Rattus norvegicus: one gene and its partners. The protein of the gene in region 3 interacts with the protein of the main gene of each other region in a pairwise test. Links are inferred from orthologs where the notes say so. Each region holds a gene or a part of one and is shown on either strand. Other genes may lie near its edges. The genes, in order: Rad23b, Ubxn2b and Ngly1.

What was found.
Region 1: the proteins of Ngly1 (region 3) and Rad23b interact in binary tests that used the Homo sapiens proteins (3 or more experiments, as listed by UniProt). The two-hybrid records come from large-scale screens. The link is inferred for Rattus norvegicus from reciprocal best matches to the Homo sapiens genes NGLY1 and RAD23B.
Region 2: the proteins of Ngly1 (region 3) and Ubxn2b interact in binary tests that used the Homo sapiens proteins (3 or more experiments, as listed by UniProt). The two-hybrid records come from large-scale screens. The link is inferred for Rattus norvegicus from reciprocal best matches to the Homo sapiens genes NGLY1 and UBXN2B.

The regions. Positions count from the first base shown.
Region 1 is NC_086023.1:74,910,319-74,920,161, reverse strand, and holds part of Rad23b (UV excision repair protein RAD23 homolog B), read right to left. Parts: intron 8,208-9,843; coding exon 8,152-8,207; intron 5,426-8,151; coding exon 5,298-5,425; intron 4,156-5,297; coding exon 4,020-4,155; intron 3,059-4,019; coding exon 2,931-3,058; intron 2,226-2,930; coding exon 2,037-2,225; intron 1-2,036. UniProt on the Homo sapiens protein: Multiubiquitin chain receptor involved in modulation of proteasomal degradation. Binds to polyubiquitin chains.
Region 2 is NC_086023.1:24,097,176-24,107,724, forward strand, and holds the start of Ubxn2b (UBX domain-containing protein 2B), read left to right. Parts: upstream 1-4,040; 5' UTR 4,041-4,065; coding exon 4,066-4,149; intron 4,150-8,778; coding exon 8,779-8,882; intron 8,883-10,549. UniProt on the Homo sapiens protein: Adapter protein required for Golgi and endoplasmic reticulum biogenesis. Involved in Golgi and endoplasmic reticulum maintenance during interphase and in their reassembly at the end of mitosis.
Region 3 is NC_086033.1:11,629,048-11,639,663, reverse strand, and holds the start of Ngly1 (peptide-N(4)-(N-acetyl-beta-glucosaminyl)asparagine amidase), read left to right. Parts: upstream 1-4,335; 5' UTR 4,336-4,377; coding exon 4,378-4,508; intron 4,509-9,288; coding exon 9,289-9,403; intron 9,404-10,616. UniProt on the Homo sapiens protein: Specifically deglycosylates the denatured form of N-linked glycoproteins in the cytoplasm and assists their proteasome-mediated degradation. Cleaves the beta-aspartyl-glucosamine (GlcNAc) of the glycan and the amide side chain of Asn, converting Asn to Asp.

The DNA of each region.
Region 1 (9,843 bases), on a different chromosome or scaffold from region 3:
TAAACACACACATGAGTTTAGCAAGTTTAGGGGACTATAAGATCACCGTGCAAAACCAAGCTGTACTTCTACGCAGCTAATAGTGAACATTTTGAAATTAAGAAGAAAAAAATCCCAACAGCATCAAAAAGAATAGCTCTTAGGAATAAACTCAAATGTAGTACACATTTTTAATTTTTAATTACCATAGCTATCGTATACCATAGAACAAGCCTTGGTAAGCATTAAGTTGTTTCTTTGTTTTGAAATGATCTTACTACACAGTCAGTCTCAAGGCTACAGCTCCCGGGTGCTGGGATCACAATGCTGCTCCATCTCACTCAGACGGTTTTAAGGTCTCAGGGGGCACAGTGCTACATGTTGCAGTCCCAGCACTTGCAAAACGATGGAGAAGAATCAAGACTTAAAGGTTATCCTCACCCACGTACCAAGCTGAAAGCCCCCACAGGCTACTGTATATCAAGACTGCCTCAATGACAAACTCAAAAACCAAAGAGGGGAAAAAGAGATTCAGGACATTCCTCATATCCATTTCCAGGATAAGTAGAATAGAAAAACTCAGCCAAAACTTCTATCCCAGACAAGCTGATCTGAGATTTACACAGAAGAATGAGGGATCTGGAACAGCGCTCCACACCCTTTGTTTTCATACTTGTTGATAAATTATTCTCTGCCAGAAAAATGAGCCGATTCAAGCCAAATTAAAGTATAAAGGTAGGTTTCAACCTGGGGGGAGCTCTCAGGCAGGTTCACCAATCTCACAGGCGGGTCAGTGAAGTTGCCATGCAGATAGAAGACAGGAGGGCAGTGTTGGTGAGATGGGCGGAAAGAGGGAGAGAGAATGCAGAGAGGAGAAATGCAGAAAGGGAGAGAACCAAAACGTCTGGATTATATAGTGAAGAGCCCCTGTGTGAGAGGAAGCACAGCCCATGGTGGGGTCATGGTGGGGTATGCCTGCTATGCCCTGAGACAGACAGGGCCTGAGAAGCCTGGTACACTTTGGTATGTTAAATATGCACTTCTTATTTCAGACCACTTGTCCCAAGCCTGAAACTAGAAATCTGCAGTAAAGGTAGTGAATGAGGAGTAAGGTACTGGCCTGGGTGGCTATGGATAAACATAAATCAAAGGACTGAAACTAAGCCCCCAAACAACCCTGACACATCCATGCACCACTGACATTTTTATAGGAACCTATACCTTCAAAGTCTTCAACAAATGGTGTTGGGATACATGGATATCCACAGGCAAAATGGCAGACTGGCATACTCCATACCAAAAGAACTCACAAGGGATCACAGCCCTACACATAAAGGCAATCTGTGGATTCTTTGGATGAATTAATAAACCTTTCACCTGGATTAAGCAATGATCTAGAAAACACCACAAAACACAAAAATCAGAGAAAAGAAAAGCTACAGTGAGAAACCAAGTGAAGCCTAAGTACAGAAGAAAATTAAAGCCAGACATGGGCATGCACGTCTTTAATCTCACAGCAGGAGAGGCAGAGATCTCTGTGAACACAGGGCTCTATCTGATTACCATCTCAAAACACTTCATAACAATGTGAAAACAATGTCAAAAGTGAGGGAGAAATGGAGTTACTGATCAAAGAATCACAAGGTATGCTATTGCAGGGCCCAAGCCTGTACCAGTCCACTTGTTAGGACATAAGGAGTTAGTGTCTCTCTCATGTTGATTATACACTACTCACATGTAATTCATATAGATATTTAACATTTTGGGGACAGTAGTAAAATCTGAAGTATGAAAAACGAATGATTTTGAATTAGTTATAATATTTAGTGCTTTAGCCAATTAACAGTCATACTTGATTTACTCAAGAAGGTACTTTGCTGCTATTGGAGCCAAGAAAGGACAACGTAGGGGATGTGGCTAAGAGTTAAGTCTTTACCGCAGTCCCTGGGGCAAGGGACAGAAAAATGCCACAGCTGCATGCCAGCAGGAGCCACTGGCCCAAGGTGCAGAGTGGTGTAAATACAGTGACCAAGGAACTCAACTGTACCTAAACTCACCCGTTCTATAGCTTCTTTCTCCTGAGGTGTTACTTGGATGTAGTTCATGTGACCACTGCCAGCTTCTGCAATTCCTCCACCGCCTCCACCTCCACCACCTCCACCACCTCCTCCTCCACCTTGACCACCAGCTTCCTGAACCGGTTCATTTAGCATCTGAATAAAATGCTCCTGGTGTTGGCTAATTTGCTGTAGTGATGTAAAAAACAGAAGAAATAACACATAATTACTTACTCCTAAATAAAAACAAGAAAAAGATTAGCCAGGCGCGAGGAACTACACTAATTTCATCTATTAGAAGGCAGAAACAGATCATCTTAGGCATGCCCGAGTCCTATAGGAAATTGAATTTCAGACCAGCTCTGTCTAAAAGAGTCAGAAAGTTAGTTTTAAGTGATTTCTTACATTATTATTAAAGAAACCCAACAGTTCTGAAATGTAAAAAAAGGAGAGCATGCAAATTCTTTCAAATACTCCACTCACAAAAACCAACAATGAAAAGCTACCACGGGCCTAAGTAGAGAGCTTACTCTTCATGTATAGTTTATTTTCCTCACTAGGCTATTCTGTGCCTATTTTCTGGTCTGGGCATGAAGCATGCCCACAGGTAAGTTTCTAAGAGGCAATGTCCACTAGTAGCAAGCTCATGAAAAGCAAGTCACAAAATTAAATAGCCTCTCGGATTCCCTAACACATAAATGTACCTGGGAAATCTGAGTGAGGAAACCAACCTCTCCCATTGCTAACGTAAGCAGTTAAAGCAATGCACGCTGACTAGTCTTTATCTCGATTCATTCCTCAATATGCCTACCTAGAACACAGGCTCTGGTTTACCTGTAGTACAGAATAAAACAACATTCAAGCCCATTTTCCAAATTAATATGGATGAGTCACCTGCAGCAACTGAGGGTTCTCCCGGCCTATCTGCTGTAGCAAAGCAGGAAGCAAGGAGGGGTTCTGCTGGATAATTTGTCTCATCTGTTGAAACTGAGGCTGATTCCGTAAAAACTCAAGGGGGTGGCCTGAAATATATACAAACATTTCAAAACAAAAACAGTAAGTATATGTAACAGCAGGTAGTTGAACAATGACTTAAGTTCTCGTGTTATAGAGAAAGTAAGTCACAAGGTCTCCAAACTCCAATGTGCCTGCCACCACTGCTCTAAAAAGTTATACTATTTTCTACTAGCAAAAGGATAGACTGCTGAGAGGCAAGCCCACCCACCATGCCCTGTGAACCATCACAAAAAAGCTGGTGTCCTATATCAAAATAAAAGGTTGTCATGTTATTGCCTGTGCTCACAATAAGAAACACATGCATGTTTATGGATATCTAGTCCTATATTATGTACAATAATGAAGTGAGACTCAGGGACCACAGTTACCTAGGAGGTGGCATCCTATAAATCTGAGTCAGAGCTATGCCTCCTCTTTGCACTACATGAGTCTCAACTGCCAAAATGAGAGCAAGAAGCTATCAACCTAAAACAAAACAAAACAAAACAAAACAAAACAAAACAAAAAAAACAAAAAAAAAAAACAAAACCCCAGCTTTTTAGAAATCAGCTTGCTACCACCACCACTGCCGTGTCTCTCTATGTACCCTGGCCATTTGAGAACTCTGCTGCGAAGACTACGTTCCCTATGTTCCCTCAAACTCAGATGTGTGTCTACCTGTGCTTCCCAATACTGGGATTAAGGAGTGTGCCTCCACACCCTGCCTGAAATGATAATTCTTAGCAAGGTAAGACATCCACTCAAAAGTCAAACAATTCAAACTGTGAATACACATTTTTTCCAGAGTGAACTACTAGTGTAAGCTCTGATAACACTGGTATACACTAAAAGCCAGAGAATCTCTCCTCTTTGAGTGAAGAAACAAAGCTTATCCAAGTGTTCTGGGAATGAATCTTAACCAGTGAAGTACGTTACATTAAACAATCTTACACTAAAAGACCATTCTCCACCTAACAGCTACTTTACCTCCAGAAGTGGTGGTTGTCGTTGCTGTTGTGGTTGCTGCAGCTGCAGCTACTGCTGGAGACTGAGGAGTTCCAGTACTCACAGCCTGTGGAGGAGGATCAACCACGGCCTGACTTTCTCTGTCTCCAGGGATTCCCTGCCAACACAATTTCAAATTTTAATCAATCTCAATGTAAATCTCTCTCTCTCTCTCTCTCTCTCTCTCTCTCTCTCTCTCTCTCTCACACACACACACACACACACACACACACACACGAATCTTACAAGTAGCCCAGATACAATGCTGTAGTGCAAGGGAGCATTGTTCAACAGAATTTTCCAGTGACAGATGCACTGTCCAGTAACAGCCACAACCCATGTCCAAATGAACTCTTAAGAGTATCAGTAATTAAGGCGTTCAATGCCCATGGGTTCCAGGCGACTTTTGGTGCAGAGGTTTTCATAATCTGTCATTCTGTGAAACAAAGGACTGTGTTTACACAAACCAGGCAACTGGTGGATAAGCGACCAAGTCTCCTCTACTGATCTAATGCTTCTAAACAAGTATCACCTAGAAAGTGCCACACATAAAAAGAAAAACTTCAAAGATGGACAAATTGGTATGTAATGTTAATAGTTTATATTTTGAGTTTCTGTATGTTTCAAACATTTATCTTTTGAAATGAGTACAATTTAAAAGGTACACTCAAATTTTCTATTTTGATGCACAAGATTTGATGCACACAATTATACGCATTTAAAAATCCATCAAATTTTTAACTTTAACAGATGGTAATGAGTTCATTTCCTATTAAACCAAGGCCAAATTTCTTTTCATAAGGAAGAAAGAGCAGTGACTAACAGGGGCTACACTACAGGCATTCAAAACAGCTATTTTTCACATGGAGTTACAAGACAATTAGATTCAGGGTACAGAATGTGGCATGAAATTCTCAGACAGAAAAGTTAATGCTGGCTCCTCCAGAGGAAAACTAATTTTGCTCTAAGTACTTCATAAGAGACCTAAGGTATCAGTCTGTTCAATTAGAGTTGCCTTCACCTGCGCTTCATTAGCATGAAAGGCACCAACTACCCCAAACAAGAGTCACTTCCTAACTCACCTCACATCATTTAAATCATTTCAGAATCTTTTCCAGAAGGTTACCTGATAGCAAAATCTCAATATTGGGTGGGGATGGGAACTATCCAGCATATAATGCTTTCCACTGAATTGTTAACTCATTTATTAAAACCTTAATTTCAAGAGTTTGAAAGAGAAAAGTAAAACACGGTTCTCACCATTAGAAGATATTCCACAGCTCTATCAGGGTTGTTGAAGCTGGCTCTCAGGGCTGCAATTACTTGTTCTCGTTCATAGCCCATTGACATGATCTCAGTTACCATATTCTCGTAAGACTGACCTGTCACTAAACAGGTGTGTGGGGAACAATGGGGGAGAAAAGTACAGGAACATTCAACATTCTCCTCATAGTTCTTGACTCCATGATGTTAGTGTTTCATATTGCTATGCTAGGCAGAGACGATTAACAATGTAGTAAGTCAACGTCACATTCTAACTCCCAGAACCTATAAATATGTAATCTATAAATATGTATGACAAAGGGAAGTGACCTTTCAGGTGGGCCCAATGTCATCAACAGGGTCCTTAAAAGTAAAGTGGGACAGAAACAGGGTTACAGACAATAAAGACAAAAGCACTGCTGCTGTTTTTTGCGGGTGGAGAAGGGGGTCTACAAGCTTCTAGAAGTGAAAGGGAACTAGGTTCTCCCAAGTCTCCAAATAACATACAGTCTTCCTTGGTATCAGGCAGCAAAATTCAGGTCAAAGGTTCTGACCTACCAAAAATGGCCAGATAACTTTGGTAACTTACAAAAGTAATAGAAAACTAGGAGGTTTTATATGCATAGTAAAAATACCAGGTACAGATACAAGAAAGAATTTACAGGTCAGGGAAGGCAGCCTGTCAATAAGAGACAGGGGAGTCAGCACCTGGGGATCATTCTTATACTTCCTTTGGAAGACTGCTGCTGTGCGTTGAAGGCCAGTGTTATCTACACAAGTTCAAGGACAGTATGAGGCATAAAGAAAAATGCTATTGCACAAAAAAACCAAGTCCACTGCTATATATATTTTAAACAATCAATTCTGGTGCAGTAAGACTGTGTTTTATCTTTTTCTTTTGACACCTTGTATTTTTCAAACTAATGGGAAACAAAGGTTGGAAAAGTTACAATTTCAGACCAGGTTGCAAGTATTGTATCTGAGTCACTAACATCCCCAACCCTCCCTGATGACAGTAGCTTGCCTGAATGAGAGCTGCTCCCTCAACTCTCAACTCACCTGTCTGTAAAACTATTTTCTTTCCCACTTGTGTTATGGCACCACTGCATTGCCACGTCAGAAAGTGGATTCATTATGGTCTCCCTTCTCCACCCCCAACTCTGTCCTCTAGTTTAAGTGACCAGCAGCCATGTTGTCACCTATGAACAACAGCAAACACACTGGTGCAAGCAAGTAAGGGAACAAAGACTTGGAAGGTTGCAGATTTCCCCCTGGAAGTTTACATAAACAAGTCTGCAAGTTCAGAGGGAAATGAGTAGCATTAATTCATGTGGGAATCCCACATGCATGGTATTCCGCCATTCCCACAGCTTAAATGTTTAACTATAGCCTAAGCCAGAACCATGGAAAGCACATAATTAGTCAGGAACAATATTTTACTAGAGTGCTTGAGAAGAAGGGTTTGAGACATACACAGAACAGGAATGGGATCACAAAAGCCAAGTGGGAAGTTAAAGAAACGAATTCAGCAGAGCAGAGACCCAGGGATTATAAAGCTGCCGTGGAATGTCCAGGGATATAAAGGCTAAATATAAGGGGCACTAGCATTCCTGTGTGCTGGCTCCTTGGTCAAGTCATAGATTGTTTTGCTTCCTACAGACTGAAACATGAGCAAAATATGCCTCTTCTTAAGATGTGTGTAAGTAAAAACATGACCAGTAGCAGCAGCAGCAGCAGCAGCAGCAGCAGCAGCAGCAGCAGCAGCAGCAGCAGCAGCAACAACAACAACAAAAGGCATCATCTACTTGGCTCCTGCTCAACAGCACCATCTTGGCGATACTGGCAACAACCAGAACCGTTAGTAACACTAGGGACAAGTACCAACTGGCTCCAGCTCTGAACCACAGAATGGTTAACATTCTCTAAGTACTCCTCTTGTCTAGTTCTTCCAATGCCTTTATAACAATTCTCTATAATTCATGGCTTCCTCTGTATGAAGTATAGTATGCCTTCTGTCTCATGAACGGATGTTTACTGAAAGTATTTGGTGGCAGTGTCGTCCCAGGACAGTTTCTCAAAGATGAAATTCTGAATTTAGTATACCTAGGTGATCTTAGGCTATTTAAAACATCTACATTTTTGTCACTACATACGATGAGGGTATCAAGGAGTTAAAGCCCAAGTAGTTCATTCAGGACCAATGTGTTATCCCAAGGGTTTTTAGAGCCATTGGAATGCTGCTGCTGCTGCTGCTGCTGCTGGGAAGCCCAGAACCCAGTCAAACAGACAGCTTCAACTATCCCAGTCTTTTGCCTACTATGTCAAAACAGAAACATGGATAAACAATAAAAACATTAACCGTACTCCAGGGGTTTAATCATAGGAGGGAAAAGCTGACAGTTTAGAGATGAAGGGAAAGGAGAAAGCATTATTAAAACAGGTCAAATCAAAGACTGGGGCAAGAAGACCTTTTTACTATGTGCCCATGTAAGCAACAGGAGGCAGCTGGAAATCTAGAAAGACAGCAAGGTGAATGAAGACTGGAGGTGAGCAAGCAAATATGAGGTACACAAAAGAAAATGACAAGGCCTTCTGTAATAGGCCATCCACAGACCAAACCTGTTAAGACCACATAAAGTTCACATTGGAAAATAATTTGCTTCAAAGGAGGTACTTAACCGCAAGAAGAGATTTTAAAGAATTCAGTAAAGAATACATCAAAGTCTCTAGTACTAACGATATAAGTAAATCATTTTAAAGCTTAACTGTAAGTGGTCATGAAGCTCACACTGTCAGTGTGGTCTAGAAGATGACACTGCACATCTGACAAGGTGTTTTCTAAGACACTCACCAAGGGCACTTGTTGCATCTTCAAAAAGATTTGACCGAGAAGAATCTCCTGGTGTACTGTAAAGAGTTTAGAAAAAAAATCATTTCAAAAAGTTTTGCATAACTCATTTTATAGTTACTAATTTCTAAAGGATATGTTTAAGTATTAAAGTGTGTGGGCAATCCAGTCTCGTAAGAGGTTATGTCCAAAGTTGTACCTGTAGGATTTATAGTTAATGAAAAAATTTCAATCTTAAGACTTCTGAGAATTCATCAATGCAAACAACATCAAAAGGCTATAAATGTAACACCCTTAAAACTCTTGCTCTAAGAATGAAAATAGCACCGCAGCTAAATTACCCCAGAAAAACAAGCTGCAGCAGCAGAACATTGAAAGTAGTATCTGATAAAGGAGCACACACATAAACCAAGTGAGGTGGCCACGTCTTTCAGTGAGGTTTTCTATGAAAGTTTTCAACAACTAATTGGGAAAGAAGGCATACAAGCTATATTGCATATGCAAAAAGAGGTGGTTGTATAGATCCTATGCTAACCTAAAGAAAACCTTAGGCATAAGGTCCTAGGTTAACCAGCAAAAACATGCATGCAGACATGCAAATTTCTGTTCTGTTGAGAAATCGATGAAGTTCAAAATTAAAAGGCTGACGAACAAGATTATAAAACACCATGGAGCTGCTGACAGTAGATATACACAATCGCTTTGATGTGAAGCTACCTAGAGGAATGAAGAGGACAAATGGGAGGAGCAATTAAAGGAGGTTGAAGTTATGCTCAGTGTACAATATTTATGATATTAAGTAGCAGGTAATTACAATCTTTATTTTCATATCCCAGAGTGTAGATATGTGTACCGCATGTGTAATGCCTTGGAAGTCAGAAGAGACATTAGATTTCCTTGACATGGAGTTATAGACCATGTGAGTGAGTCACCATGTGGGTGCTGGGAACTGAACCCTAGGCCCTCTGCCAGAGCAACTAGTGCTTATAATTGCTAGGCCATTTCACCAGCTCCACTATTACAAATTTTAAAGTGACAGTAAGAGTAAAAATTATCACATGCACTCCATACATTTAAACTTCTCTCCAATTTCAGCTTTTGAGTTAAATGTGTTTGTGTTCATAGGTGTCTGCATAGGCACAATATACACAGTGGGCAAAGGACAATGAGCGGCGGCTGGTTCTCTTCTACCATATTGGCCAGGCAAGTAAATCAAACTCAGGTTGTCTGGTTTGGAATCCAGTGCCTCTATCCACTGAGCCACCTCCTCACCATCCCTCATTCCAACTTTTAAGAGCAGAAACAATGCACTCAGGAAAGTACCAAGCATAACACCCACAAGGAAGTTACTTCTTAAAACATTAAGTATGTGGAGGACAAAAAATTTCAAAAGGCTCTTACAACCGAGACAACCACGAATATAGCAGTTTTCTATTTTAAAAAAGAACTATCTTAGTTTTGCTTGTATAGAGCTTATTTTGTTTTCTATATTCCCTAGGCTGGCCTTGAACTTGTGATCTTCCTGCCTCAGTCTCCCAAGTGCTAGAACTGTAATCATGTACCACTACACATACCCTCCCAACTAGTTTCTAAAGTTTAACTTAAAATTTATTTCATGTTAATAAGCCCAGGTCTATGTCAACATTTTCCTACAAATGCTTAGCAGTCCACCTAGTGGGCCAAAACAAACTCAAA
Region 2 (10,549 bases), on a different chromosome or scaffold from region 3:
AGTGCACATATGGAAATTCTGTACTTGTTGCAACTGGTTGTATACTGTTGTTGCTCACCCCATAGCATGGACGTGCACAGGGAAGCAAGCGTTTGATCCACTGGATCAGCTCATTTCTAAAGGAAGTCAAACAAGGTGAGGCTCTGCCTTTTTCAGCTCTTACACTGTCTGCTGGCAGTCTGCTTAATGCCACATCCTTCAGACTCTGTGTTTCTCCTTTTGGATCTATTTAAAACTGCCTGCTAGTGCAGTGCTGACATTTTGCCTAGGGTTCCTAAGTGGATGTGCCTTGAGGAGCTTGCATATAAGGCAAACTTCCTTCAAGAAGGAATTGCAGTGCTGGGACAGTGAGTTCGATTTTGATGCAGCCATAGTATATATTACATAAAATGTCTCTATACAGAAATAGACAAAGAACAAGACTATGAACCAACCACCTGATGAACATAAACAGGGGCTTCAAGGACATAACCTTGTATCCCAACGGCAATAATTCGGTGATCAATAATATAATGTTCTTGGCAAGTTCATGGAACAGAACTGTGGATAATGAGAGCCAGCTGTATATACATGATAGGAACAAGAACAGATGACACTGAATAGTGGAGTTTCACACAGCAAGAGAATAAAAAAGGCTAAAGCAGAACCCAAGGGAATATCACTGGTTAAAGGCTGGATGTTGTTGAGGGATGGCCAAAAAAAAAAAAAAATGGTATGAAACATACCAAGAGGTCCTTAGGCAGTAACACTGTGCAATCTTGCCAGGAGCTACAGAACAGCTCCCAGGGAGCAGGGAGGGGGTCAAAAGAAAAGCATAAACTTTAGAGTATAATGCACCTGAATTTAAAACTTAGTTCTGAAGCTTATTTTTTCTCTTGCCCTCACCCCACCCCCACACACTTACTTCTAAAGTATGAAGAGGATACCTAAGCCAGAAGTTATTGTAGAGGGTATAGTTTATGCAAGCCATGAAAATTACCAGCTGTAAACATATGCCATTCTCTCAAATGTTTTAGAAACAAGATAAAAATGTTTCAACAGATGAGACAACAAACGAAGGCCAGTTCTGAACCTCGCCTAGTGAAATTCAGCATAAGTAAAATTACACAAATATGAGTTTTATGTAAGTTATGAAGTTAGAGTTGTCTGTGCCTGATGAGGCTCTCCACTGAGTCATCTTACTATTGTGGTCCATTTTCAACGTCTTGTGCGTTGGGGGCCCTGGATACGGTCGCACACAACCAGGACACAGGGGGTGCAGAGCAAAGGCAGAAGTAACCGCTCAGTTGCAAGCTTTATTAATCCTTATATAGATATGAATATGCATTACTACAATTTCCATTTTGGCAAGATACCATAAGATTGTTGTTCCCACGATACCAGGAACAACTGAGGTAAGATTAAACGAAGAAACATGACTAAACAAAGGTTTCTTCTCAAAATATTCACATAACAAATCACCCCTCTTCTTATTATCAAAATATACTAGCTATTACCAAGAGAGCGTGAGAAGAGCTTCCACAGAAACAGGACACAGCAGAACATAGTTTAAGGCCAAGCGAGAAAAACATTTTCTTCTCAAGGGCGCTTGCAACTGTCACCAGTCCTTACTTGACCCTGCATCTCTATGCCTCCACAGTCCATGACTTACCAAGAATGAAAAAGGTGCTATGAAGACTGGCAATCTCGGTCCCAGTTATAGATCACCACTACTTCTATTCACGGGTTCCCTCAGATAGACTGTAAAACTACATTCCTTTGGTGAGGGGAACCAAGAAGTTGGCCTGGTCTAGCTGCCTTGAAAGGCACATGTCACTAGTTTTTTGGATTAGAGTCCATGGCTCTTGGAGCACAAAGTAGCTTCCAGATGTTGAGAGACTGATATGTTCCCTCAGGCAGTGAGGTGTTTGGGCTGTTTCTTTGTATGGTCTCTTAGACATTAAGGAAGCATGGAAGCTTAGCAGAATAACTGGTCTCAGGTGATAATTGTGGAGAGCTTTTAGGCTACTTCTAGAAACTCGACAAGAGTCTGACATTGGGCCAGGACAGAGAAGTGGACCCAGTAGGAATTTGATGTTGGTTTAGGATATGGAAGTAGGCTCAGATGATATTTACATTTGAGCTAACAAAAAGCTCAAGGTAAACTCAGCCGAGGAATGTGTGGCCTTCCTTTTATCTTGGCCATCCTGATGAGCCCTCTGAAACAGTGATCACAGGACTCTGCTTATAGCCTTGTTTGTTCCTTGACATAGAACTGCCCTTATCATTTGCCTGTACTTAGAATGATATAAAAGCAGGCTGGAGAAAAATAAGTCCGCCTCAGCCTCAGCGCTGGCTGGAGTCATGTTATAGAGTCGTTTAATTGTCTTTTTCCTTTCAGTCCTCACACCCTCCCTTGAGACCTGGTTGGCTGACTGAGCCGGCTTGGTCAATTAACCTGGTGTACCTGTGGAGCTTGCGAATGTCGTTATATCCTGGCAACTACCACTGCCGTTAGTTGTATTCTATTTCTGACAAAGGTATAACAGTCTAATGGCTCTTGATAAAACCATCACAGTCTCAGTCTTGCTGTGGCCCCTCCAACTGGACTGATTTTCATTAGTCAAGGTCGCATCTGATGACCTTGGCCCAGGAAGTAAGCATGGCTGCTTACACTCTAGAATCTAACTTAAGCCTACATCTCTAGTCTAGGTCTCTTACTGACTGCCTCATCATTGCTTATAAACATAATCATTTCTAAACACCCATGTAGTGTTTTGCTGGCATGGCTAAGATAGTCCCCATTATCTGTCTTAGAACATATTTGTGACCTCTTACTCATGGTCATTCCTGGCACAACAACTGTGGAAAATACTTCTCCTTCAAGGTCCAACATTGAAGGTATTGGCTCTCTGGGGTATTTTCTTGTCAAAAAAGTGATGGGAACTTTTAAGGCAGAATGTATATTAAGAATATCAAGACAGCAATGCAAGGTTTGGTAACGTGTACTGCTAGTTTCTAGTTTAATTATCATTTGACTTACTCAAGTACAACACTGCATATTCAGCAATTCAAGTGGAAGACTCTAAACTGAGGAGAGGGACCATCGTCCTTTGCCCTCTGAGTCTCAAGCTGGGCCTGAGAAAGAAACTGAACTAAAACAGATTTACAGGAGAAAAGGGCACAAATTTTATTTTTAAAAAAATTATGTGATTAGTGTCTTCATAGGAACGTGAAAGCCTATGTGGGTGTATCATACTGTTGGCAATCAAGAAAAGTAGCTAAGATGTGGTAAACAGACCTCTCAGATTCATCTTCTCTAGCTTGTAAAAGTTGTTGTTTTTGAAGTGCCTGGGATTCAAAGAACAGCCAAGGCAGCAGGCTGTAGGCTCCCACCTAGCATGGTGCACACAACAGCCACCAAGAGAGTATTCTCCATTCACATACAGGCCTCGCATAGTACTCTCTGCAAACCTTATTTACAAATTGTTCTCTGTTACCTGTTTAGCTTATAATTTCATAAAGACCCAGACTTCCTTTTTCTTGGGAGGCAACTCTTGGAGGTGTGTCTGGAATAAGACGAGAGTTAAATCAATCCTGGCGGAAAAGAAGATGGCTTAAGAGTCTCCTTTCTTGTTGCCAAAAGCTTTACTGTGTTTCCTGTCTTCAATATGGATCCACTCAGAAGGACTAATTTGCAATCCAATCCTGGATAAGGGAAAATGAGAGATAAGGGGAAATGAACGGTGAAGTTGCAATGTTCATCTGTTAAGATATTGCACTATTTAGTTAAATAAACTTGGAAGACAATGCTGCACTCTACGGCAACCTACAGCATCTCCCAGCGAGTTGCATGGTGACTGCAGACAGATCTCTAAAAAGGGGAAACGGGTGAGTCGGAACCCTACAGCTAGAGCCCACGGGGTGGTGGGGGAAGGAGACGGGAGAAATCTAGCGAACAAGGCACAGCTCCGCCCCCTCTCCAAGGAGGTGGGAGTCACCAAGTGGCACTGCCCCTCCCACAGTCGCTAAGCAACCAGCCCCGGAAGTCGCGGGTCCGGGGCGGGCGCCGCGAGCGGGTGAAAGATGGCGGAGGGTGGCGGCGCGGAGCCGGAGGAGCAGGAGCGGAGGTCCTCGAGGCCGCGGCCCCCGAGTGCGCGGGACTTACAGGTGCGGAGGCACAGAGCGCGGCGGTGGGCGAGAGGGTGTGGGCATGGTGGGCGCGGGCCAGAGCCACTTTGTACCTCGCCTGAGCCTTTCCTTGACCCTGTCTGCGGAGAACTGGAGGGTCTCTCCCGGAGGCGCATTGCGGGGTGGTGCGTGTGGAAACCAGTGCCCTAGCCTCAGGCGGCCATACAGGGTTTCCCTTCACGCAGGATGCACAAAGCAGAAAATGTCATTTTGCGGAGCCATCAGGGTGGCTCCCAGTTGTTGCTGCCTGCATCTGGAGAGTTTCTGTGGCCAGTGGTCAATCAGCTATCACTTAAAAAAGTAACTTTAAAATAACGCATGCAGGTTTGTTCTCTTAGATCCTTTTTTTTTTTCCACATTTGGTGACTTATAGATTAAAAGCGCTTTCTTCCTTTCTTAGGAAAAAGCTTGCGTTTTTTGCAGGGGAGAGCTTAAAACAGTTCAGGCGTTGGTCACAGCCCACTTGTAAGAGGTAGCCCACAAAACAACTTAACAGAAATAAAACTCAGCAACGTTATGATGCTGACATTCGTCAGCTGAACACTTCTCCACCGGATGCTGTCTTATCAGATGCTTTTTCCATCTCCTCATGAAATCATTGATAAAATCCAACAATTAAACGTATATTACGGGTTAGAGTTGAGAATAAATGAGCCTGAATTCACAAACCTTGACAGAACATTTTTAATAGCTGGTCTTCATTCTTTAACCAGATGTACTGACCACTTGCCATTTTAACTTTGCACTGAGGGGAATTAGTATATAAATAAAACATCAAATCCATAAGTATTAATGGATACTGTTGTAAGCAATTACATTTTGGGAAAGGTCACAGATTTGAAACAGACCAAACCAATGCAAAGTTATAATGGTACTAATTGAGCACTGGTTGGTTTCAGGTGACCCTGGAGCCAGTTAGCTAGCTGTCTTAGAGTTACATCACTGTGATGAAACACCATGACCAAAGCAACTTGAGGAAGGGAGACTCACGCTTCCACATCATGGTTCATCGTCAGAAAAGGAAGTCAGAGCAGGAACCTGGAGACAGTAGCTGATGAAGAGGCCATGGAGGGGTTCTACTTACTGGTTTGCTCCCCGTGGCTTCTTCAGCCTGCTTATAGAAGCCAGGACTCACAGCCCAAGTGTGGCACCACCCATAATGGGCTTGGCCCTCTACCATCTATCTCTAAGAAAATGCTCTAAAGGCTTGCCTACAGCTTTAAGAAAGCTTTTTTCCCCCAGTTGAGCCCCCCTCCTCCCCCAATATTTCTAACTTTGTCAAGTTGATGTAAAACTAGCCAGCACATTAGGGAGGTACCCATCTGACTGGTTGACCAAACTTAAGTATTTTCTATGTGTGGCTTGCTAGTTTCCACAAAGTCCCATCTCATTGCCAGTTTGAACTTTCCCAACCTGTTCTGACGCTGGGGGCTGCCCCATTCAGGAATTCCGTTTTGTTGTACAAGTAATCTAGGTTTAATTGACCTAAACAGTCTCTGTTTAACCACGTATAACCTTTTAGATGCCTTCATAACTTTTTGGAGAACTAAGCACAGAGTCAAGTTGAAGTGTCACTGAATGCCAAAAAAGGGCAGTTCCGAAGATGAACTTGGAGAATGCAGAGATCACCATCAGGTGTGGGGTAAACACTGGATAGTGAATTGCCAGCTGAACAGAATGTCTCTGCTGCCATGCAGAATAGTCTGTTAGCTTCTAAATCAGGAAGGAGTGTTTTGGGAACCACCAGAAGAGGGCTACACAGTTATCTCCTAAAGTGTCTATGTTGTGTCTTCTGGACTGTGTTTAAGGCTGGTGTTTGGTCCTTCGGGCAGTTAGAGGGTTTAAAGGTGTTGAAGGTGGTTAATTGCATGCTTCCCAATGCTCCTACAGAATAATATCAACAGGATTACTGTTCTTAATTCTGTGGTTCCATCCAGATTAGCATTGGGAACAAGTAAACTGGTCTGAGGCTAATAGTTGCCACTATGCCTGGTCCTGTTGACTGTCATTCCTCCAGATCTCTGGTTCTCAGAGAAGTAATGTCCCTGGAAAGGCTAAATAATGTGTGGAAAGCCCTCATACCAGCATCTAGTCCACTAGGTACAGAGTGTGGCTTGAGCATTATGTAGTTGCCAGAGTTTTCCCAGGTTTGGCCAGTCTGTACAGGTAACTTTACTGTGTTTTCTACAGTGTAGCATGAGAAGGCTGAGAGTTCTAGTTCTCTTTTGCTGTGTTTCTGCCTTTCACAGAGACTTACATCCAGGTTTCCTTCCAGGCTAAAAAGATGATCAGTCCCTTACTTGAGAAGAATTGAGGCAAGACTGTCCCTTACTTAATCTCAAGAGTGCTCAGTCTGCTATGTCTAGTTATCTAAATTTTAAAGATTTAATAATATTCATGAGTAGCCCTTGTCAGAACTGCAACTGGTACATAACTTGCTCACCTCTGAGGAAATCACACTCGGATAGCATCCTTCGTGTTCCCTTTCTACTTTGCGTAAAGTCAAAGCTGCTTTATTTATTTTACAGAAGAAAAACATTTTAATTGGCAGCAATCAAATAAGTGGCTAAAAATAAGAACTGGTGAGGCAGGCATGGTAGAGTTCATGAAGGAGGGACATTCGGCTAGGTTCCTCAGATCTACCTGGATCAAGAGAGCAGAGTGTGGAAAGCGGAAACGTAGCTGCTTTTGCCTTTTTATTCAGGCTAAGACCCTAATGCTCAGGGTAGGGCTTTTCTCTTTAGAAATAATGCAGAAAAACACACCCAAAGGTCTGTCTCTGAGGAGGTTCCTAGTCCAGTTGACACTGACGATTACCCATCACAGTTGGCACCTAAAGTAAATGTCACTAGGAGGCTAGCGTATGGTATATAGATTTAGAAAAAGATATTTAAGAAAATCTGAAGCCTTATTTACATAGGTCACCTGAAACAGGTGATTAGAATACAGAAAACATTGTATGAGATACATTGAGCATATAAGTCATTCATAGATCTGAAATAATACAATTGGCTCAGGAGGAAGTCTCTCAAAGAAGACTGTTTGAAAGATGGACACTTACTGTAGTCATGGTCCTTCCCCTATCCTGCTTCTAGTTCTGTTTGGGGTTTTGGAGGGCAAAAGTAGCAAACCATGGCAGGGAGACACAGAGAGTGAAATCCGGAACACTGGCACATGCAGGGTCACAGTTTAAAATAAGACTTTGTAGTGATGGAATGGACGTGGCTTGTGCTCTATGTGCATTCCTCTTTCAGCTGATTTTCAGAAGAATTTTGATAGGCATTTATAGAAGTAATTTGTTTAGTAATCCACCAAATGTTACACAGTATGTGCCTGAGATTTGGATCCAGTTGAGAGAGAACAACGTGGTGTATGAACATGGGGTGGAGGTCTGGAGGGAGGAAAAGGGAGAAAATGATAGAATTGTATTTTCATTTCGAAAACTTATAGCTCTGTAAAATATTTGAGTTCAGTTCTTAGGTCAGAGGCATTGATTTGCATTTCTAGGGAAATAGCCACTATAGAAATTCACAAGTTGATGCTATCTCCGACAGTGAGGGAGGAACAGGAATAAAAACAATTAGGGGAGTGGAAAAAATTCTACGCATCTTGAGGGTGTACTCTAAATGTGTTTATCTAAAGGCCATGGAATCTTCAAAGGCCAGGCAATGTAGCTGGGTGTCACAGTGCTTGTCTAACATGTATGAGGCCTGCCTGTGTTCCTAACCTTGGAGTGGAACCCCAAAGAACAATCATACCAATGGAATATCGACTAGCAGCATTAAGGAAGTTTGTTTTATTGTTGATTTTTCAAGACAGGGTGTCTTTAGAGAGGCCTGACTGTCCAGGAACTCACTTTGTAGACCAGGCTGGCCTCAAATTCACAGAGATCCTCCTGCTTCTCCCTCCCAAGTTCGAGGACTGAAGGTATTTACCACTGTGTTTGACTGAAAAATTTTAAATTATTGCCAAAAATAGGAAAAGGAAAAGAAAACTATAATAATTGATAATTTGGTTATTATTTAAATTCTATTTCAAGGACAAATGTATTTTTACTTTATTTAGAAGGTATCCAGCTATACATCTACAATACTTAATTTAACAGTATTACTTTATAAATGGCTAAAACCTATATTTAATTCATCTCCTTTCCCTAAACTTAATGAAATTTGTGTCTTAGTAGACTTTTACACAATACTTTTGAACTCATTTTATGTACTTAGGTTTTGAAAACAGCTATAAGTGAAGTTATAGGGTTGATTGAATTAGAGAAAGTGTCAATAACTTGAACTGTCTTCAAAAAAATCTTTAAACCTTGAAGAAAGTTACACAGGTCCACAGCAAAAATAGTATGTTGCCAAACTCAGTTTTTGAAAGTGTTGAATAGGTAAAGAATTATTATAACAATTTTTTTTCTGACATAGACAGTTTGATTAGTTGAATAGTATGAGACCTGGTAACTTAGTCTTGGACAGACATGTTTTGAGACAACCACCCCATTTTCTCATAGGCTATTGCCGTTGCTCAATTTCAAGCCAGGTTCCTCAGGTATTGTCTAGAAGTCTGTTTCCAGTGTCAACTGTATAACAAACCTGTTATTGTGTGTAGTTGGCCTTGGCAGAATTATATGAAGATGAAATGAAATGCAAGTCTTCCAAGCCTGACAGATCTACAGCTACAGCCTTTAAGAGCCCACGAACACCGCCCCTTCGGTGAGTATTGCTTCCAAACACATACCCTGCTTTGCTCACTAAGCCCAGAGTACTTTAAGTGACCTTGGGACTTTTTAAATTAAAGTTTTTAAAATAGATACGGAAGTACTATACCTAAATTTCTTACAATCAGCTAAAAGAAACTTCAGTTACCTTAGTATATGATAATTATCATAGGCACCACGTGAAATTATGTCTTGATCCTGCTTTCTGAGGCCCAGTGGCTCTTGAATAGCTTTATCATAGCCCCATTGAGGTCTGATGGTGTTTTCAGGCCTCACCTTCCAAAGCAACCTTCATATGCAGTCCTGTCAGTTGAGGGCCAGAGCTTTCTCACCACCCGTCATGGGACTGAGGTGAATCTCAAGTTTCTGAAGTTTCTGTGTGTGATCCTGTTGTGTGATGCCTAGTCTAACAGATGATTTCCTGGGATGTGTTTGTTGTCATTAAAATCTCTGAACTATAAAAAGAATGGACTCTCACATGCTCTCACTTTTGTTTCACTCAACTCTGAAAGCACAGGATAGCCATTATGGCACTCGCTTCTAGATAGTTCATTGTGCATCCCCTAAGAATGAAGTATATAACAGAAAATGTCACTGTATAGGTTAACAATTAACAGTGGTGCCATGATGTCATTTACCATGTAGCCTGTGGTCAGCCATTTCTTCCAGCTACCTTTGGGGATTTGGGGACCCAATTAGAGACTACTCATTGCATCTGATTTTTCCTATGTTGAGTTTCAGTGCAGGGCATCCTCTCTTTTCTGTCTGTTTTTAGCTCATCTACATCATCTAAAATGTATTATATTCAGTTTTTAAAAGTATACACCAGATGTCTCCAAACTTCCCACATTCTAGATCGCTGTTTCCCCATAATTAGATTCTTGTTAAACATTTTGTCAAGAGTACTAGATAAGTGATACTGTCTGCTTTTTATTATATCACATCAGGAGCCATATAATTTCAAGTTTTCCCACTATTGGTGATATGCTCACTTGGTTAAGGTGCTGACCACCACATCTCTCCATTGTCAGGTACAGTTTGCTTTATAATCAGCAGGTTGGTATCTCGGCATGGTTTGAATATACTATCCTTTGATTTCATTCTTACTTATTAGATAAACGAGTATATATAGATTTGTATGATATCTTAACTGACTCCTTCATGTATGTACTCCCCAAAGTTTTTTACTATTTAATGTGTTCCTAAACTTACATTTTATTCATTCGGTATCAAGGTATTTAATGTTTTGCTCCCTGGTTTGAGCACACGCAGAATGACTTAATACTCCCCTTAGTGCACTAAATCTAATATTTGAATTCGTATAAGATTGATGTGTAAATATTTTCCTTGCTCTTCGAGTGTTAATTCTGTGATCCTGAGTTCAAGGTCTCCCTCAGCTGCCAAGTAAGTTCAAGCCAGTTTGAACTGCCCCTAAAAGCTAAGGTCTGTGGTGGAAGTGGCCCAGTGGGAGTTTTGCCTAGCATATGCAAGGCCCTGGGTTCAATCCCTAGAACTCTCTCTTCAGATGAGTATACTTATACAGCCTGAAAACTTTTGTTGTTGTTAGCTTTACTTTCCTAACGCTCTTCGGTTTGTTTTTGTTTGGGAATGCGATAGATTAGTATCCCACACATATTAGCCAAATACTTCTACTGCGGAACT
Region 3 (10,616 bases):
TTTTGCTTCCGTCTGGAAAGGGGTAAGCAGTTTATAACATCATAACAGCTGCATGTGAACTACTACCATATTGTTTGCTAACATGTCACCATGTATTCATGAACAAAAGTCTTCAGCTTGGTTCTGTTTATCATAGCCTCCTCTTAGAATTTCTCTGGATCAACACTTTATTTCCAAATCCAGTTCTCAATTAAATAAAGTTCCTATCCAACAAGTTGAACTTGTTTGTAATATTATTGTAACCAAAGGAGACTGAGGTCAAGTGCTATCTCATTAAGTCAGGAAATTATTCAAAGAAGGGAACCTAGGCTTCAGTCTGTGAGCTGAGTAAATACAAGTGAAGTAACTGGGGGGAAGCAGGCATTTCAACAGGCAAGAGTCCAATACAGACAAAACACCAGGCCGCTGTGGCCAGGGCTAAATTTGAGAAGTTTGACTGAGTAGATAAAGACACCTGCCACTAACCTTTATAGCTTGATAATCTGAATTCCATTTCTCCAGCGCGCTTGCTCTCTCTCTCTCTCTCTGTGTGCGTGCGTGCGTGCGTGCGTGCGTGCGTGCGTGCTTGCTTGCTTGTTTCTGTGTTTTGCTTGGTTTGGGTTTGTTGTTGTTGTTTGATTTGGTTTTGATTTTTCAAGACAGGGTTTTACAGCCCTGGCTGTCCTAGAATTCACTCTGTAGTCCAGGCTGGCCTCAATCTCACAGAGCTCCATCTGCCGCTGCCTCCTGAGGGATGGGATTAAAGGTGTACATCACCACGGCTCAGCCATTGGTGGATAGGGCTCACGACCATTTTCAGAACTCTTAACAGTGGAAGAAAAAAGCCAACTCCCAGAAATTGTCCTCTGATCTCCAAATACCATGGAAGAGGAATGTGTATGCATGTGCTACACACACACACACACACACACACACACACACACACACACACAAACACACACACTTAAAAATAAAAATGAGGGGTAGGAGAAATGGCTCAGAGGCAAAGGCCTTATATTTCCAGAGGGCCAAGTGTCTACAACTGGGACAGTAGGTCAGCAGGCAGCAAGCATGGTGGCTAGAGGAGGAAGCTGAAAGCTCACATCCTTTATCACAAATGTGGAGCCAAGAGAGCAAACATAAAGTTGTTTTCTCAACTACTTTCAGTGACGTACTTCTTCTAGCATGGCTGTACCACCTAAATGTCCCCAAACTAGGCCACTGACTAGAGCCTGTGGGGAACATTGTTCATTCAAACCACCACACCCAACTCCCTGGTCTTCATAGACTCCTGGCCATATAATGCAAAATGCATTTAGTGAAACTTTAAAAGTCCCTGTAGTCTTTCACAGTCTTAACACTGCTTAAAAGTCCAGAGTCTCTTCTAAGATGTGAAGCATCTCAGAATGCAACCTTCTGTAAAATCATAAGGCAAATTACATATTTCCAATATATGACACACATTACCATCCCAAAAGGCCCAAGTGGGGCATAATAAGAACATACTGGACCAAACCATGACCATTACCTAGCAGAACAAAACACCAAACCCTGTCTTCGGTTAAGGGCTCCAACCCTCTAGCTTTCCTGCCTGTTGCCTACATCTCTCTCTTGGGCTGGTCCCACTCTCTCTATTCAATCCTTGGCAGATTTCTCATAGCATTGATATCGTCAACATCTTGTGATCTCCACTGGAACCCAAGCTTCCCTTTCACAGCTCCACACCACAGTCTGCCACAACTCTTACTCTCTCAGGATCTTCATGCAGAGAATTCCCTACCACAGGTTATCTGGCCTCAGAGGCTCTCACAAGCCACAGAGGTAGGATCTGTAACCCTCATTCTTGTATCCTACAAGTCAAAAGCTGGCATTGTGGGAACAACACAGCCGAGTGTGGCTGCCAGCCAGGGATGGGGTCGCTTGAATCACATTAGCAACAGTACTTTTTTTTCAATTACTCTCTGGGATCAGAAAATGCTTTAGGCTGTCTTATAAGCTATACATTTTGCTGGGGGAGATATTGCCTAGAGAGTACCCTTTTCTTTTATTCCAGTGCAAATTTCTCAACTGGGTGAAACTTCCTCTCTCCAGCACATGCTTTGGCTGTAATGTTAAGCTCCCCAGAGCTCCTTTGCTCTACAAACAGAACAATTTATCTTGTTTTCTAGCCCAAGTCTTCCAAAATCCTTGCATAATACCCTCCCCTGACCAAAAAACGCCCCACATGGTCAAATTCACCACAGCAGTATCCCACTCTCTCAGTATTAGTTTCTGTGGATATTAAGCTTTTCTACTGTTGTGATAAAACACCACAACCAAGGCGACTTATAAAACAATGTAGTTTGGTTTATGGCTCCAAAGGTTAGAGTCAAGGGTGGTGGCATGCCAGCAGGCCCAGCAGCCAGAGCAGGAAGTTGAACACTCACATCCTTGACCACAAGCACAAGCAGAGGGAGTGACCTAGAAGTAAGGCAGGAGCACACATAGCAAACCCTGACTTCCGTGCTGCACTTCTTCCAACCAAGTTGCACCCCCTGGCCTGCCTCTACCTTTTACTGGGATCACAAGCAAACAGCTGGGAACATAGCACTCGGAGCTGGGCCAAAAACCTAAGTGTAACTTTGTTATGAGCCACAAAAAGAAATTGCTAGTTAGCCAATGAAAAGTTTAAACGAAAGTTAATAGCAGTCTCTTTGTTAAACATAATAGTCTCTTTTTAAGAATGATGCTTTCACAGTCTCATAGATATATAATAGTCTTTGGCCACAGTCCGTCCATTATCTCTCTTCCGTCACCTTTACTGCCCCCCTCCCGTTTTAATCCCCTTTTCCTTCATCTCCCTCCAACTTTCATGTCTTTTGATAGTGGTGGTAGTGGTAGAGGGGTGTGTGTGTGTGTGTGTGTGTGTGTGTGTGTGTGTGTGTGTGTATTTTGTATGTTGACAGGGTCTGGTGAAGCCCAGGCTGGCCTCAACCTCACTACTAAACCAAAGTTAACCTTGAACTTTTGATTCTCCTGCCTCTACCTTCCAAGTTTTGGGATTTGCCAACATGCCGAGCTGAAAACAACATTCTTGAAGTTGGTCCACAAACCTAAATGCTAGCATTTAGCATTTAGGTATATCTGACAGATGAATATTCAGAAGTTCTAGAAAAGTCTCAAAAGAAATTGCCCAGAAACATTAAAAAGCAACAGATAATAAAGTGCCAAAGGAGGTTACATAAGTAAATATCTTTAAAATACAAAGCCCAGAAATAGCTGCTAGCTAAGTCTAGTGGTTCCTACATGTAATTCCAGCTATTTAAGGAGAGTGGAATATGGAAGACTCCAGGTCTGACTAAAAATCAAGGTCAAGTGTACCCTTAGTGACATTTCGACATTAAAAAATAATAATAAAGCCAGTGGTAGTGGACAAGCCTTTAATCCCAGTACTCAGGAGGCAGAGGTCAGGCAGATCTGAGTTCAAGGCCAGCCTGCTCTGCAGCTTGAGTTCTAGTTTAACCAGAGCTATGCAGAAAAAAACCCTGTCTTGAAGAAGAAAAAGAAGCAATGAAGGCTGGGTATATAGCTGAGCGCTGGAGCCAATTCCCAGGGTTGATGCCGGCGACATCAGTGTGGTGAAGCATGGCAGGACTAAAGAGGTGATTCACTTTCGAAGATAAATTAAGGAAATTGGTAAGCGATACGCCTGTATGAGTCAAAAGATACAATGTATATATAAACTTTATTCTCGTTCATTTTATTCTATTCTTGTATATGGCTTTTGCGCCGGTGACATGATAAACTGAGTCCCCAACCCACTGATTAAAAAATGCTCCATACAGCAGAATCATACCTTGTGAGAAACGACCGAGGTGACGTTCATCAACAGATTTCAGAAAATACATGAATCAGAAGCCTAGCAGAGTTCTGAACTATGCTTTTGTTTCTGAAGCCAAACACCAGTCATCAAAGATTTTGAGGCAGGACTGCAGCGAATTCAGGACTGTGAGCCCAGTCTAGGCCACAGTCCATGATCGCTCCCCCTTCCCCATAACCCCTCCCTCCCCAAAAAAGACAAAACAAACTTGCTCTTTCTTCTGGACTCTTTTCTTCCACAAACGACATTTATCTACCGCAAAAAGAAGGCTGTACAATTATCCGTGGGCCTCTACCCAACACTAGCTGTCACCATAGCCCTCTCCTCCACTGGCAGGCCCGCTGTGAGCCAACGTTCACAACCCGCCTCTCGGTGGCTCGCCCCGCCCCTAACCCCGCCCCTAACCCTCCCGGAACGCCCCGCCCCTCGGCGTCTCTCCCCGCCCCCTGGCCTCAGGCCTCTGCGGAGGCCTAGGCGCTCCTCAGCGCCTGCTCAGTGCGGGCCGCGGAGCGCGAGGTGGCGAAGGCCGCGGCTCAGCCATGGCGTCGGCCACACTGGGCAGCTCGTCGAGCTCTGCGTCTCCGGCCGTGGCCGAGTTATGCCAGAACACCCCGGAGACCTTTCTGGAGGCCTCCAAGCTGCTGCTCACCTACGCCGACAACATCCTGAGGTGCAGCCGGGGCCCTGGAGCCTGAGGGCCGCAGGCGGGCGGGGCCGCCGACACTCGGGCCTGAGGCGGGGCGGGCTGGGCGACGAGGGCGCTCGCTGGGGCTGTCATTGCCTCTGACAGCTGTGGTGTCCCATCTCGCTGAAGGATCCAGGCGCTGTGACTCAGCCCGAGCACCCGTTAAATGTTCACTTCGAGTTTGGTGGTTGACACATTTGTAGTTCTAAGTTACGAACTTTGGGTTGATTACTGGGTTTTTACTTCGTTCGACCTGACGCCTTAAGCAAGAGTTTTGAAGGAAACCACTCTGGAGAAGCACCTCACAAGGGCTGCAGTTGGAAGTTTGGGTCGGCACCTTCCCACAGCCCTTTAGGTCAAATGGAGCTAGTTTGGGGAAGGTGCACAGGAGGGGACGCTAATTCAGTTAAGCCCCTGGGCGCTGGCCCTTACAAATACACTGACCCGAAGTCTGGAGGAACTCTTAGCTTCAAGGCTGTACACTTCATGTGGCCCAGCTTTAGAGAATTAGTTGGGAACGATATGTTTGAGACATTGAGGTAGGTGTTTGAGGTGTTGTCCTTTACCCCAGGCTGGCATGGAACTTGCTCTGTAGCCCGGAACTCATGCCAGTCTCGTCTCAGCCTACCCCGGAAGCTGAGATTACAGGTGTGCGCCACCACAACCATAACTGTTCACTTAGGTGACACTGGTGAGATTTAAAATAAATTGAAGCGAGGACATAATGTGACTCTGTGCCAGGTGTTATGCAGCATTGGGCCTGCTCACAGCTACATGATTGTGACCTGTGTGACGATCACCTTCCTCCTTTATGACACCTCAGCTTAACCCTGAGATCTCACAGCACCTCAGAGTACAAGGTGTCGGAAAGAATGCATAGGCTTGGTTCTCCAGAGCCCACAGCTGACATTTCCTACTGAATTCTTTGAGTCCTTCACCTCCCACGCCCTGTACAGAAAAGAGGGCTGGATTTGTAAAGACACTTTGAGCCTTTCAGTATACTGAAACCAAAGATGCTGAGATCAGAGTATTTTGAAGGACTGCTTTGCATGCATATAATTATTTGGGATCATAACCACCATTATGAATGTTTACTAAACTTCTAAAAGAAACTGGCTCATCTTACAGCCTTTACTGTGCCTTACATTTCTGCTCTTGTGTTTCTGTCTTATAAAGGAAATTAGGAGTTAATAACCAAAATGATTCAGGTTGATGTGAAAAATAGCTCTTTTAGTTTGTTTTCAACAATAATGCCCTATGTTCTTAGAATTCAAGGTCTGGCTTGGTTGGGAAATGGTATCCTATTTCTTCATGTCCAAATTCTTAAGGAAAGGTTCATATACTTTTCTGGTCCCTGGCAACACATTACAATTATACTTCAGGTTTCTGTTTCCATTACTATTCTTTTTAAAATCCACAAGTGGCAAGTGAAGGCACTTTTGAAGGATTGCCCCACTGTCTCTTCTGCTTTGGTCTCAGAACAGTTTATAGAATGGATGTGCAAGTAAAAATTCACTAGCAGACTTTAAACCCATACTTGTTACTGTAATCTACAGTGAAATAATACTCTTAAATTTCTGCTTGAATAATTTTTATCATATCCCCAACACTAATAAATCTAAATAAGCTGTAGAAATATGTGCTAATATGTATGCAAAAGCTGCTACCCATTTTAGATATGACGAGCTTACTATCACCTTTCTCAAAAGCAAAACGAAACGACTCTTTTAGTTTTCCTGGCATCACAGGTGAGCTGTTTAGCTAATTTCATTCATGTACCAATTTAGCCTAGAACTTGTCACATACCTAAGAATAATGTTGAACTTCTCATCCTCCTACCAACACCTCTAAATTACAGGTGTGGGCTACCACACTTGCCATTATGAACTGCTATAGATTAAGCCCTCAGGGCTTCATGAATGGATCCCCTGTTCCTAATTCATTTATTCTTTAATATACATATTTGATATTCTACTGTTTTGTTTACAAAGCACACACAGTTGTTGACTACTAACTATACTGAATGAAGAACCAAAAATCAAACATAGTTTCTTTGTTCAAATAATATATTTGAACAAACAGCATAACATCAAAGAACAATTCCAAGATAGTGTTTTTGACTCTGTATTTATGCTCTTATGTTAGGAGATAGTGGTGAGATCCAACGTGAGACATTTAGGTGAAGGTATAGGTGAAGGGAACTCAGTTTCTGTAGTGGAGTTTCCTGAGCATTGGAAGAGACAGGCAGTGGTTGTGAAGCCATTGCATAATCATAATCATAAATGCAATGGAATGGAGAAAGATGATTCTCACTGACAATGCAAGAAGTAATAGAAGACAAAAACAATAGAACCAACTTTAATTTTTAATGGAGGTTGCCACTGACATGTAGAGAAATTGAGTGCAGTTGAAGGTTGATGAGTTTATTGGCAGCTTGTGTAGTGGAATATTTATAAGCATCTAACCAAAGCAGAAGTTTCAAGTGTAGGCAACTGTTTTAAGTGTGATCTTAGGTAATTTATATATAATTTCCAAGTTTGAGTTTCCTTATAAAAGAGAAGAAAAATACTCTATTCTAGGATTACCACAACATAGAGAAATAAAGGACCTGGCATATATATAGCTACTACTGAGGTTATTTAACACTATTATTATTATTATTATTACTATTATTATTTATTTCTGTTAAATTAGGTGAAAAGTTTGGTAGAGTGTTTGACTAAGTTTGTAGTCCACTGTTTATTCTTCCTTTCCTTCCTTCTCACTACCCTGTCTAGTGTACAAATCCTATCCCCACATTCAACTATTTTTGTTTTGTCTTAAATCCTACTGGTGGGGGTTTCATTGTTTGGGTTTTTTTTGTTTTTGTTTTTTTGGTTTTTTTTGTGTTTGAAAATCGTTTTTGTTCTGTTTTTGAAACAGTTTCGTTGTTTGGCATGTTGGGATTATAGGCATACACTACTGTATCTTGATAAGTATTCAGTGTTTGTTTGAAAGAACAGTGGATGTTAGAGGCAGGGCCAGTGATAGTGCCTGCATCCTTCCTAAGGCAAAAAAGAGACCCTGTTTTAAAAAAAGGGGTAGGGGGAACTGGGACAAAGGGGGGAGAATAGTGACTTTCCTTACCTGATTGAAATACAAAAGCAAATGCTATTTTTTTGAAAATTAAATAGTTTGGTAGATAACTATGAGAGTAAAATGACTAGAAAGAAAAAAATATCTCCAAAGTTACAGTTGAGCCAAGTACAAGATATTTGACGTCATGAAAATCTACACATTCAGAAAAAGTCCCAAGAAAAGCTCCAAGATAATTGCTAACAAGTGAAGTAAATATTACAACTTACAAAAATATTTAATAGATAACAGAGATGGGTAGGGGAAACATCAAAGCTTGACAACAAAAACAGGAAATTGTATATAGAAAATTAAGTTGATGGAGAATCAAGCAAGAATTCAGGTGAGTGCCCAGGGTACCATAGAAAGACAGGGCTGATTTTGGGCTTAGTGTATGCTTGAACTCATGCAAGTCTGCTTAGCATTTTTCACTTAAAAATGGGTTGGGCATTCATAGCTTATTCAAGCAACCAAGAGCAGAAACAAGGGGAGTCCTGAGTTTGAGGTAAAACAAGCAATAAGAGAACGATCTGGGAACTGGACATGCCTGTTGTTTCTGGGCTCTGCTTCTGGCATGGTGAACATCAGTATTATACAGCAGTCATGTAGAGCTGGAGAAGCTGTGAGGGTGGGCACAGGACAGCTGCAGCTTTAAACGGGTATGTGACAGTGGTGGTAGCCGATGTGCATCATGAAAAGTCATCTGTAGTTAGCACTGGCGTGTGCTAGGCTCATTCTGTTGTCTGTTTAGGTGGTATGTCATGGAAAGCAGGGGTGTTGAGCATTCCATGGTGCATAGGAGTCTCCCCTCAGCTGTGCTGTAAACTTCATGGGGATTAAGATTGAAAAGCACTGTCCCTAATGTAGTAAGTGCAGAGGTAAACGTTCCCAGTTCCCAGCAATCTACATTTGCTTCCGAAATCATTTGTGAAAAGATGTAGACCTACAAAGTTTATATAACACAGTGAAAATCCCATAGTATTACCAAGTTATTATAAAAGTTATTGAACACACAGTCTTGCAATTATTGTGGAAGGGACTTTGTAGACCAGCACTAATATATGACAGTTAAACAGTAATATTAGAGTTTTGTCCTTGAATATGTGTGGTTTCGTTTTATTTTATTACCTTATTTCCTATGCTAAAAACATTTTGGAATGAGGTTGAAACTTATAGTAGAAGCAGTCATCGGTGCAGGGAGGAAAGGAAGCTAAGTGACCGCTAAGGTTCAGCTGGAAGCAGAGCTCTTCAGCTATGTTTCAGTTCACAAATGCTTCTTAATCACCGCCGTCGTGCCATGAGCACTACTGTAGATGATGGCATCCCTCAGAACAAGCATAGTTTTCTACTCCCTGTCTGACACTACTTTTAGAAGCTTAAAAGACTCAACGAGTACTCATCTGTGACAGCTACACATTTCCCATGGCAGTATTAATACTGTCATCCATGAAGGTGGACAGTAGAAGTACTCAGTGGTACTGAAGTGAGACTTATGAAATGGAAGTGCTTGTCTGCACTGCTCTGTCTTTACAGTTGGAATCTCTACTGCCTCAGGGAGTCTGGCTGGTAGAAAATATGAAAGAAACATGCATAAGCTCTTAGAAAATGGGTGGTGATAATTTACCCATGATGTTATCTTCTTTTTAATCAGAAACCCCAGTGATGAAAAATACAGATCCATCCGCATTGGAAACACAGCCTTTTCTACTAGACTCTTGCCTGTCAGAGGAGCTGTTGAGTGTTTATTTGAAATGGGCTTTGAAGAGGTGAGTACGTGAAAAGGTCTCCTCACCATTCTTTATGTGCAAAACAAACAGCAGTGACAGTGAATAGTTGTTTAAATGACAGTTTTTAAATTAACTGGTCATTTTGGAAATGTGTAGAACTAGTTGGGTTTCTTTTATTTAATGTATATATGAGTACACTGTAGCTGTCTTTAGATGCATCAGAAGAGGGGATCAGATCTCATTACAGAGGTTGTGAACCGCTATGTGGTTGTTGGGAATTGAACTCAGGACCTCTGGGAGAGCAAGCAGTCAGTGCTCTTAACCCCTGAGCCACTTCTCTAGCCCCTGTTTTTTTGGGTTTTTTTTGTTTTTGTTTTGTTGTTGTTGTTTTTAACATGTTAGACATTTTTAAAGTATAATGAAGTCAGGATAAAATGTAACAAGTTTCCATAGATAGGAATTCTTAAAGTCTCAATGTTTAGAATAAAGAGCATGAAATACAGCCCAAGAATCAAATGTGGCCCCTTTAGTCTTCCAGCAGCATGTTTGATTGATCTCTGAGTGTGCAGTGCATATAAAAGTATCATCATTGTCTCCATTAAGAAGTAGAACAAGGAAGATAGAGAAAAGAGAAAGTCACCTGCCCCACATGCTTTTCTAGTGCGATGGTGATCTCAAGATGTTTACCATTTTATTCCACAAGAAGAATTTGGTGTTTCCATCCTCTCAAACCTTGTGGCAGAGTTTACTATTATAATACAGTAAATGTGGTTATTAAAGTTGTCATTTTAGCCAAGCATGCTGATACATCCTGTAGTCTTCTCTTCTTGGGAAACTGAAGCTGGAAGAAACTAAGACTGTTTCTGTAAGATAGACAGACAGACTTCTGTGTACCCCTATTTTTGGTATATAGGATATTAGCAAAGTTGAGCAGGAGTACAGGTGCTATTTGTAGAGTTTTTTCTCTTCCTAACCAAATCCTGATGCATGCCATGAGGATGTAACAGTGAAGTAAGTTAATACAATCCCAGTTCATCCACAGCTTATGCTCTCATCGCCTAGAAAACAGGAAAGAGGCAACAAGGGTAAAGAACACAAGACATGGTACGTGCACTCACAGCATTAGAGTACAGCCACTGCAGCAGTGAAGTGACCGCCGAAGGAAGGCCTGTGAGGTGGTAAAGGGTAGGACTCAAGTGACAAGAAACCACTCAGATACCTGAAACTCAGTTCATACAGGGGAGTGGCTTGA